Yarrowia lipolytica: one gene and its partner. Each later gene encodes a partner of the first gene's protein in a complex. Links are inferred from orthologs where the notes say so. Each region holds a gene or a part of one and is shown in the gene's direction. Other genes may lie near its edges.

Region 1 (5,810 bases):
GACGATGAGGAGTTTGTGGACGCTGAGAGCGACGCGCTGGAGGAGGATGACGACGATGATGATGACGTCGACCTAGACAACGACTCTGACCACTCCCCTGTCAAGCCGCCCTCGCAGATGCAGCGAGTCATCAACAAGACTATTGAGGACAACAAGGGCCTGCACATGGATGAGGATGACGTTCAAAAAGCCATGAAGGCCCTGAAGATGGAACGAGCAAGCATCAATCCTGAGTAAATAGGAAATCAAGCATAAATATATCCGTACTGTACACCGTAGTTTGTGACGTCGAAGGGGAGGGGGACAAGAGAGTGAAAGTGTAGCTACTTGTAGTATGTATAAGTTGTGCGTACCTGAATGTCACGGGACCTGCGATACGAATGCTGGTGAGACCCAACCATGGTTCCCGCTAGAAAGCCAAGATATTATCTGGATCTACAGCTGAGTTTGACGTTATTTTTTTCCCTCCTGAAAGGCTTTGTTAGGTTTGCATCGTTCATGTATTTGGTGTACACCTTTTTCGGGTTCCGATGGTGCTTCCATAGGTGGAGGAGCAGGTCAGAGACACATTGTTTGTGGATAGCGGATTGTTATGCCCCGAGTGGAGCATCATTTTAATCGCAGGAGTTTATTATATACTGTGTATACAGTGCACTAATTTTTCCCCTGTCTCCTCTACACTCCCTTACGTCATTAAATGGCCGCTACTGTATTCACACTCTTCCGACCCGGATCAGATAAATTTTTCAAGAACTTTTTTATCTGATTTGTATGCATGGTTTGGGGGCAAGTAAGCCGTACATAGGAGGCCTGGAAGTAGGGGCAAAAGTGGAGAGTCCCTGTAACCACTGGTTTGTGCAATTTTGGGGGTCGCAAATACATTGCCACAACGTGGGCGCCAGGAGTTTACAGACGAGTCTATATACGGGCGGTCTTAGATGAATTTTACTACTGCACGTGTGAGCAATTTGAGGGCCTGTGTTGACGGGTGCGAGTTTAACGTGCAGGGTTCAGTGGGGTGATTTGAGCCGACAAAAACAAATGTGAGGCGATGATCATGGTGTGACTGGGGAAGTAAGTATATACGATTTGGTTCTGCTCGTCTGGGGGGTTTTAGCACCAGCCATACCACTGGTAGTGGGTCTCTGACACTAATGGTATTTTCTGTCGCCACCTATACACCCGACAAGACGCATCTCGGCTCGTGCCGTTTTACCTTTGGCCAAGCAGGTTCAAGTGAACTTTGTCAATTGGAGAAGTGCAAAGCCAAAATTCACCAGCCCTCATATCATCACTCCACATCTCAGTTGCCCGACTTGGTCACTCGATACACCGGCTGCGCAAGCGACTCACATACGACAGGTGTCCAAAACCAGTTTCCACTGAAAATACCGCAACGTGTAGCAACCCAAGTGAACTATCAGCTGTCTCTTCACCTCACATCACATCACAGCCATTACACAGCACTTGACCAAAACAGAGGGCTCGCCAGTATCAACAAGTGTTGCAACCACATCTTGATATTGAACGCTCATCGACATCTGCACCGCCAAGCAGAGCTCATCTCTTCCACACGCTCAGATTAAACCAAAAGTGCATAATTTGCTCACCATGAAAGAAGCTGGTGATAGCTCCACAACGCCACCTAAGCCCGACACCACCTCGGCTTACCAGGTCGGCGGCATGACATGCGGATCGTGCGTCTCCGCCATCATCAACGGCCTGGAGGCATGTCCCGGTGTCACAGAAGCAGCTGTGTCTCTGGTCACCGAACGAGCCAGTGTACACCACAACAAGAGCATAATCTCCGCCGAAGAGCTGCAGGAAAGAATAGAGGACTGCGGCTTCGACGCCTCGCTCATCGACTCATCGCCGATAGCTGCGCCCGTCAGCACACCCATGGAACGTCTCAAGGTTAAGATCTTCGGAATGACCTGTTCCAGTTGTACCAACGCAGTGCGAGACACTATCCAGGACATTAGAGGCGTCGCCAATGTCGTGGTTGCTCTCGCGACTGAGGAGGCCACCATTTCTTTCAATCCCCAGGAATGTGGAGCTCGAGACATCATCAACGCCATTGAAGACTGTGGCTTTGAGGGCGTCCTATCTGCACAGCAAGATAACGCTACCCAACTAGCAAGCTTATCTCGAATCAAGGAGATACAGAAATGGCGAAGCGACGGTATCCAGTGTTTCATTCTTGGTCTGCCTGTGATGTTGCTCACTCATATTCTTCCCATGGTTGGTCTCCAGCCTCTGCATGATCTAACCATCTTCAAGGGCCTGTACGTGGACGATCTCGTCTGCTTTGTGCTGGCAACATACATCCAGTTCTGGCTGGGCCACAAGTTCTATGTCTCTTCGCGACGAGCTCTGTCCCATGGAACTGCCACCATGGACGTGTTGGTGGCCATCTCCACCTCCTCAGCCTACTTCTTTTCTGTCTTTTCCATGCTCTATGCGATCGCCACTGTGGCCGATACTCACCCTCATACTCTGTTTGAGACTTCGGCAATGCTGATTGCCTTCACGACCCTCGGAAAATACTTGGAAAACCGAGCCAAGGGACAGACCTCGGGTGCCCTCAGTAAGCTTATTTCCCTGACTCCTACCACTGCCACTATTCTCAAGGACTCCTCCAAGTACGACCCCAGTATTGTATACGACGAGTCTGCCGAGATGGATATTGCTGCCGAGCTTCTTCAGAGAGGTGATATTGTCATTCTCAAGCCTGGTGCCAAGGTACCTGCTGACGGAGTCGTCGTTTCCGGTGAAACTTATATCGATGAGTCTCTTCTCACTGGAGAGTCTACTCCTGTGGTCCGAAAGGTTGGAGACCAGGTTGTGGGTGGCTCCATTAACGGCTCTGGGCGTATTGACTTCCGAGTCGAGCGTGCTGGTAAGGATACTGCCCTTGCCAACATTGTCCGGCTAGTTGAGGAGGCCCAGACCTCTCAGGCCGAGATCCAGCGATACGCCGACAAGATTTCCGGAGTCTTTGTGCCATGTGTTGTTGCTCTTGCCCTGCTTACCTTCATCTTCTGGATTATCATGAGCAACGTCATGAAGCATCCTCCTAACGTCTTTTCTCTGCCCGAAGGAAAGTTCCTCATCTGTCTTCGTCTGTGCATCTCTGTCGTGGTCGTTGCTTGTCCCTGTGCTCTTGGTCTTGCCACTCCCACAGCGGTCATGGTCGGAACTGGTGTTGGAGCTACTCATGGTATTCTTGTAAAGGGCGGAGCAGTTTTGGAAACCGCTTCAAAGATCAAGACTGTTGTTTTCGATAAGACTGGTACACTCACCACCGGCCGAATGACCATTCAAAAACACGTCTTTGAGAAGGATACTCTCAAGAACCTCAACATGACCGAAACTGAAATGTGGCTAATTCTGGCTGGCGTGGAGGCTTCGTCTGAACATCCCATTGCCCAGTCTCTAGTTCGACAGGCGAAGGAGGCTGCCCAGGTTGAGGATGTTCCCGGTGTGGCTGACTTTGTTGCTATTGTTGGTCAGGGTGTTACTGGTGTAGTTGATGGCCACAGTGTTGCTGTTGGCTCTTCTGAGCTTGTCAACTCGTCCTGCAAGTCGCTGGATAAGCCCCCCGCCACCCCTCACTCCCCTGACAACCCTGCTACTGTGATCCATGCTTGTGTTGACGGCCAGTATGTCGGTTACATGGCCTTTGCTGATAGCGTCAAGTCCGACGCTCGAGCTGCAGTGTCTGTGCTCAAGAAGATGGGAATCAACGTCGCCATGATGACCGGAGACAACCACTTCGTTGCCCACGCTGTTGCTGATGAGGTCGGTATCCCCCGATCCAATGTCTGGGCATCGACCTCGCCTGCTCAGAAGCTCGCCATCATCGAACAGCTGCAGGAGCCCCAGGACCCCAACGAAGCTGCTGACTCCACAGATCTGTCTCTAAATGCCTCTGTGGTTGCCATGGTCGGCGATGGTATCAACGACTCGCCTGCCCTGGCCAAGGCTGCTATTGGAATTGCAATGTCCTCCGGAACCGACATCGCCATGGACGCTGCCGATATTGTGCTGCTCAACAAGGAGAGTCTCATGGACGTCCCTGCCTCCATTAACCTATCGCAGGTCACCTTCCGACGAATCAAAATCAACCTCGTGTGGGCCTCCGTGTACAACCTGATTATGATTCCCTTTGCTATGGGCTGCTTCCTGCCATTCAACTTTATGCTGCACCCCATGGAGGCATCTGCAGCCATGGCGCTGAGTTCCGTGTCTGTTATTGTTTCTTCTCTGGCTCTCAAGAAATGGCAACCCCCCAAGGACACCGAATATGGCTCTGACGAGTGGCGAGACATGGAGAGCCAGACGGTCAAACCCAAGCGGCGTTGGTGGCAGAAGCTCTGGAGAAGCGAGGGTGTTCGATACGAGCGGCTCTAGGCAAACCGGGCAACTGTGGTTTGCTGTAAATTATTATAGACTTTATGAATAACGATGTATAATGGTGCACTTCTTGGTGGTGCTCTTGTATCGTCTCTGGTGTGCATGCACTGCAGCACATGTGAGATTAACCTTGATAGGGGTGGTTGTATCTCTCGTTTATGGGGAAAGAATATGGCTGAGTAGCGTATCTACGACACTGTAGCAGCTCTATGTTAAAGTGCCGTACATTGGCGTGTACTCGTAGCGTTTTTAATTCCCTACTTCCTATGTTCTTATACTGACTTTGGTAGTCTACAAGTGCTCGTAGTATAATCAAGTACATACTGCATACTGTACATACATACTATACATAGCGTAGCGTACCAAGTAGTGGTGCTAACAACTTATCGCTTGGAACAATACAGAGGAAGCCTAAACGAGTATAGAGACCGAACCAAGCGCCATTGTCTAGATACACCATCTTGAATTCTCTAATTCCCTCTCTCTTCTCGGATAGTTCACGTGACCTTCTCCAAAAGCAGATCTTAATTAGATCGGCAAGCAAACCCTAACCCAATCTCCTGTATGTGCTTCAAAACATGGCATGATAACATAGAGGAAAACGACATGTCTGATGATTTACGCCCGTATCAATTGGACCGGCCGGCCAACCAAACAGGTCGGCCTCAGCCTCTCGGCCCTGGCGACTCACCCACCGTGTCTCCCACAAATGGTACAAAACCAGCGGGGTCCAAGCGCAATTTAATACCCGCGACAGAGAGATCATTTTTGACCGTGTCAAACACAATTGGAGCGAGCGCCTCTTCCAACATGACCTTTGATGTCCAGAGACAGACCATAGCATACACTGCCGGTACAGGCGCAGTTCTGGGTCACTACAGCACGTCTTTGGGTCTCAAACAACGGTACTTTTGTTTGAGGAACACAGATCAGCTCAATGCGTCTTTTGAAGCGTTCCAAATCACAGCTACGCGAGACAGCTACGGGTTTTCATCACAGACACAGTATTTGGGAGCGTCGGAAGAATCTCCGGTGGATGCTTCGCCTCCTAAAATGCCTTCTCCTGTGAAAGAACGCGCCAAGAGTGCTACTGCTGTGGCTATCAGACCAGATGGGCGCCTATTGGCATTGGGAGAAACCGGGCACAGTCCCAAGATTTCGATTTTCAGCACAGCACCGGATTCTGATTCCAGTTGTCCGGTTGCAGTGATCACTCAGCACTCTTTTGGAGTACGGTTCCTGCGATGGTCCCCTTGCGGGACATTTCTGGCCTCTTTGGGAACCCTAAATGACGGTTATCTTCACATTTGGCATGTCCAGGACAAGGGTGTACGTCTACATTCGTCCAACAAATGCATATCCCAGGTGGAAGACATGCGGTGGCTCTCGGACAA
Region 2 (4,514 bases), on another chromosome or scaffold:
GTAGCGTGCTAGTCCTGACAAAGACAAGTGTCGTTTTGGTGCGGTGCTAAATACACAAAGACTGACAGGAGAGAGAAAGAGAACGAGAGAGAGAGAGAGAGAGAGAGAGAGAGAGAGAGAGAGAGAGAGAGAGAGAGAGATGAACAGAAGTGATGGGTTGGGTTGTGATGATACGAAGATGGTGCTTGTCCCAACTCCGATGAAGGATGTGTGCAATTGTCGAGACTCGCACTGTGGCGACCTCGACGTTCAGAGAGCTGGTATCCGAGTGGCGTCTGCTGGATCTCGGAATTATAGCGCCTTTCAATAGACGTGATTAGACCGACGCTTCCGTATAAGTCCGGTCTATGGCTGCCAAAACGAACCATGGCGGGAGATTTGGACCAAGACCAGTGCTTTGACAGCAGAATGACAGCCCTCGGACATGCAAGAGCAAGTGAGCGACGACGATATAGAACGATATTGGAGCGGCTAAGGTGACTGCCTCCGTGATACGGTACATTCTGTGGCATTCTGTGGCATTCTGTCGGCGTCCAGTCTGTACGGCGTTTGAGCAATACGTGGTCATCTATGCGTCAAGCACGACGAAGAGGACGTCGTCTGCCGAGATGGGAAGGCTTGAGCGAACTCAGTCAGGAATCAGTTCTGATCAACTCCTTGATCAGCTCCCACAAGCTCCTCGACAGCTTCTCGACCGCGACATCCTCCACCAGACCTTCGATGTCCTCGACCACACCCTCAACATCCGGCACCTGCTGATTTTCATATTCTGGAATTGGCCGTTGTCGTCTACCCAGTCTCGCAGTATGTACAGTACTTGTAGTTCTCAAAGGCTCCACTTCTCGTTTTTTGCGCTTTTCATGGCGCCCTTCCCTTTCGGTCACCCCACCAAAAAACAAGCAACCCGGGTTCGATTCCGGCACCCGCAGTCTGGACCGCAACAATAAAGAAAGAAGAAAGAAAGTAAGAAAGAAAGACAAACAAAAAATAAAAAAACAATAAAAAAACAACAAAAAACAACCACCTGGACTTGCATACACGAGGAGCAAGGAGGGCGTATGACCAGGTAAGTATGATAATGAGCTGGTCTAGACGCGCGTACACTCGTAATCTGAAGACAGTGGAGACTGCGTGAGGGGTTCAAGGAATGGGTTTTACAGCAGTGGCATACACTGATGATGGTCAGAACACGATGAAAGCTGCCAGTGACAGAGCCCTGAAAACTGACAACTATCAATATCAGAGAGCTCATGATCATTACACAAAGCTCATCTTCACACAGATCGCGGTCATCGTTCACCGAAACAAACGACAGTCCTCTCCTCTGACCTCATCTCCTCATGCACCTGTGGGCGGCTGAGATGGTCTGACAGGAGAAGTCCGATATCTTAGATTGCGTTCCAAAGTTTCAAATACGGCTTATCGTGGAGGTTCTTTTGAGGTTGTCAAACTGTTGAAACTGTCAAAACTGGAAGATCTACAGATATCATCAGCTACTGTACGTATGTACGAGTATGTAAGTAGGTGGTGTACATACTATAGCTACCTGTTCTGAGAGACAATCTACTAGCACAATCTGTACGAGTACCATTTAAGTACAATATGTACGGTATATACTGTACCTTCAAGTATTATACTATACCATTCAAGTACATACTCGAATGTACAGTACATACTCGAATGTACAGTACATACTACAGTACTACTGTATATACTATTCAAGTGCGACGTTATATATATACTGTAAATACTCCCCGCTCATCTACGATCACGACATAGAACAGTCTCAGTTTCGTACACAGAGCCTCCTCGGACTTCCATGGCTAGAATTGAGCTGACTTACAGTAGTCTTACCGAGCCTTGCTGAGTCGACTCCTGCTTAGCTGACTCTACGAGTCATGTACAGTATGTAGTCTACTACAATACATACTGCCTCTGAGTTACTCCCTGAGTTGGCTACAACATGTACCATACTACTACTTGTAGTACCGTACTCGTGCCGTACCGTATCCATCAACGGTAATTTGATGTAACTATCCTCAGTACAACCTGTGCCACCCGAAACACTTGCTGCGGCTCTCATGAGCTGTTTATGCGGTTGGACGAGGAGGTTTGGGTCTCCCACGTGGATTTCTAGTTGCCAGACTAAAGTTGTTTGTTGAAAGACCCGGTTTGTAGTGAAATATACCGTCAGCCCTGTCATTCAAACAAGGCTTCCGTGCCCCACGAGTCGCTCTCCACCACCACTTGTCGCTTGGCTCCAAGACTTTCAGCCTTTCATTTCAGACTTTCATTTCAGACTTGTGGCACCTAGAGTTGCAGTATCTTCGGCCAATGCCCAGGAGATTGGACTGACATTTATCAGATCTGCAGTAAAAGTAGGAGATGTCACAATTTCGGGTTCTTACGCAACTAAATAGCTCACGAGACATGATTATATGCCCACTCGACCAAGTATTTCCAGCACGGCTCTGTTGGTGTCACGTGAAATCACTCCACCAAAAATGCTCGTCTATGCAGCGTCATGTCCTCCCCAAGGTTAAATTCCGCTGAGCTCTTTTCGCTGCAGACTATATTAACAGAGAGTCGATCTCAACTTGTCCCACCAACTTTGTCAACACACAATCACAAAATGGCCCACGAATACAAGTACGACGTTGCCATGTCCTGTTCCGGTGAGTAGGATTGGAGGTGGTGGAGTTGGTAGTGGTGGAGTTGGTAGTAGTGGAGTTGGTAGTGGTGGAGTTGGTAGTGGTGGAAGTTAGCAGTTGATGACGACGACGATGACGAAGAAGCTCTCAAAAGATGGAGATGGGTCATGGTATGAAGTTCGGTGATAATGTCCATGTCATAATGCTGTTATCAGTCCTGTTTTTGCTCAATGAGTGTTAAGACAGATCAGGAATCATGATGCTCGACCACCGAATCAACCGAAAACTTCGGGATCAATGCTGTTCATGTCCATGAATCTATTCCCTGTGGATTTGATTACGTGGTTGCACTTCATCACGGCTCATGACCACGCCCTTAATGCTGTTTTCAAAAAAGTTCTGGTACTGGTGATTGATCTTACTGGTCTGACGCCACTATGACCTGCCAGTCTACTACTTGTACTCAGTCAACCCATTCTTGGCTAACTCAGGATGCTCCAACGCTGTGAACCGAGTCCTTCAGAAGAAGGAGGGTGTCACCTCTGTCGACATCGACCTTGAGAAGCAGTCTGTGCTCGTCAAGACAGACGACGCCGTCTCCTACGACGACGTTCTCGCCACCATCGCCAAGACCGGCAAGAAGGTCAACGGTGGTCAGGTCATTGCCTAAATGTAACTTATTTAATGAGATGTATGAGATGAAATGAGGTCGTCCGCATGTAATACACAGGAGCAAGCAAATGGACTGAATAGGTCTCCAGTATGAATACGAATACTACACCAATGCTTAAAAATACATATGAATACATACACACCGTCTGAGATTCAGTTGTCAGACGTCTATATATTCCCGCGACTCTTCATCTGTCCTTTTTGCTTGTCCGAGCCGGAAGATACACTTGATTCGGAAGCCTCCACTCTGCCCAGAAGCGTACTGCTTCGTTCAGAATCGATCCTTATCAGCTCCATGGCTACCTTGCAACTTTTCTCCCATCTCAACCAGCTTCAACACCAGCTTTGAATCTCCGTAGACCTCAAAAAAATCCTTGACATCGGCGTCAAACGTGCCGGCCTCAATGCTCCGTCTTACTCCAGCCAGGAACCGATTGTAAATCTCGAGGTTATGCTGTTCGAGAATCACGTGACCCAACATCTCGTGCGCGTCCAACAGATGGTACAAGTATGCTCGGTGATGTGGTGCACTGAGGGCCTGGTTGGAGTCGGCCAGAGGAGAAAAGTCGTTCTTGAACTTGGGGTCCCACAGATTGTGTCCAAACACAGCACCCGGAGTGGCAGGAAAGGTGAAATCAAGAGCGACTCCAGCGTCCGAAAAGGTCTCGACAGAATATCCGCTCAGCAGATCAAAGCCCTGCTGGATGAGCAGAAGCATCTGCTGGGGAGTGTCACACTGTCCAGAGTGGTAGAGAGGCATCGTCTTGCCCATTCCGAGGTTCTTGAGCTCGTCCAAAACAGGCTTGGGGCCCGTCAGATGCTCAGTCTTGACATCCAGAGGGTTTCCATTACCGTCAGTGGGTCCCTGAGCGGCAGCCTTACGAGCTGCACTTTCGGCAGCAGCGGCATCTGTGGGTTTTCGGGTGGAGTCGAATCGACTGAGATCAATGGTCTGATCGGGGTACTCAGAGTGCTCGGCTCGAGTGTGGAATACCAGACCGTTGATCTTATCCTGGTTCTCTACCACTGTCTTAAGATACTCCTTCTGGTGCAAAACGGGAAGAGTAGGCAGAATCGAGGCGTAAATAGGGACCTTGACGTCGGCCACGCACTTTTCCAGCCACCGCTGAGACCGCATCACCATCTTCTTGACCTTATTGGATCCAGGACAGGCTCCCGAGGGACTGAGAC

What was found. The genes of interacting proteins can lie anywhere in the genome.
Region 2: the proteins of YALI1_D35635g (region 1) and YALI1_B23771g are in contact, whole or in part, in an NMR structure (PDB 2GGP), measured with the Saccharomyces cerevisiae proteins. The link is inferred for Yarrowia lipolytica from reciprocal best matches to the Saccharomyces cerevisiae genes CCC2 and ATX1. Residues at the interface, in NP_010556.1 of Saccharomyces cerevisiae: Cys13, Ala15, Cys16, Thr19, Gln23, Glu60, Asp61, Cys62, Gly63, Phe64, Asp65; in NP_014140.1 of Saccharomyces cerevisiae: Thr14, Cys15, Gly17, Cys18, Ala21, Lys24, Val25, Lys28, Lys59, Lys61, Lys62, Thr63, Gly64, Lys65.

The regions. Positions count from the first base shown.
Region 1 is NC_090773.1:3,561,857-3,567,666, forward strand, and holds YALI1_D35635g (uncharacterized protein), read left to right. Parts: upstream 1-1,611; coding exon 1,612-4,413; downstream 4,414-5,810. Other genes in the region: YALI1_D35593g (uncharacterized protein), read left to right, coding at 1-237; YALI1_D35624g (uncharacterized protein), read left to right, coding at 499-507, 552-794; YALI1_D35669g (uncharacterized protein), read left to right, coding at 4,981-5,810. UniProt on the Saccharomyces cerevisiae protein: Copper-transporting P-type ATPase necessary for the proper uptake of iron. Required for export of copper from cytosol into extracytosolic compartment.
Region 2 is NC_090771.1:2,374,441-2,378,954, forward strand, and holds YALI1_B23771g (uncharacterized protein), read left to right. Parts: upstream 1-2,632; coding exon 2,633-2,675; intron 2,676-3,142; coding exon 3,143-3,321; downstream 3,322-4,514. Other genes in the region: YALI1_B23744g (uncharacterized protein), read right to left, coding at 1-8, 55-512; YALI1_B23794g (uncharacterized protein), read right to left, coding at 3,595-4,514. UniProt on the Saccharomyces cerevisiae protein: Copper homeostasis factor that specifically transports copper to the secretory pathway for incorporation into copper enzymes destined for the cell surface or extracellular milieu.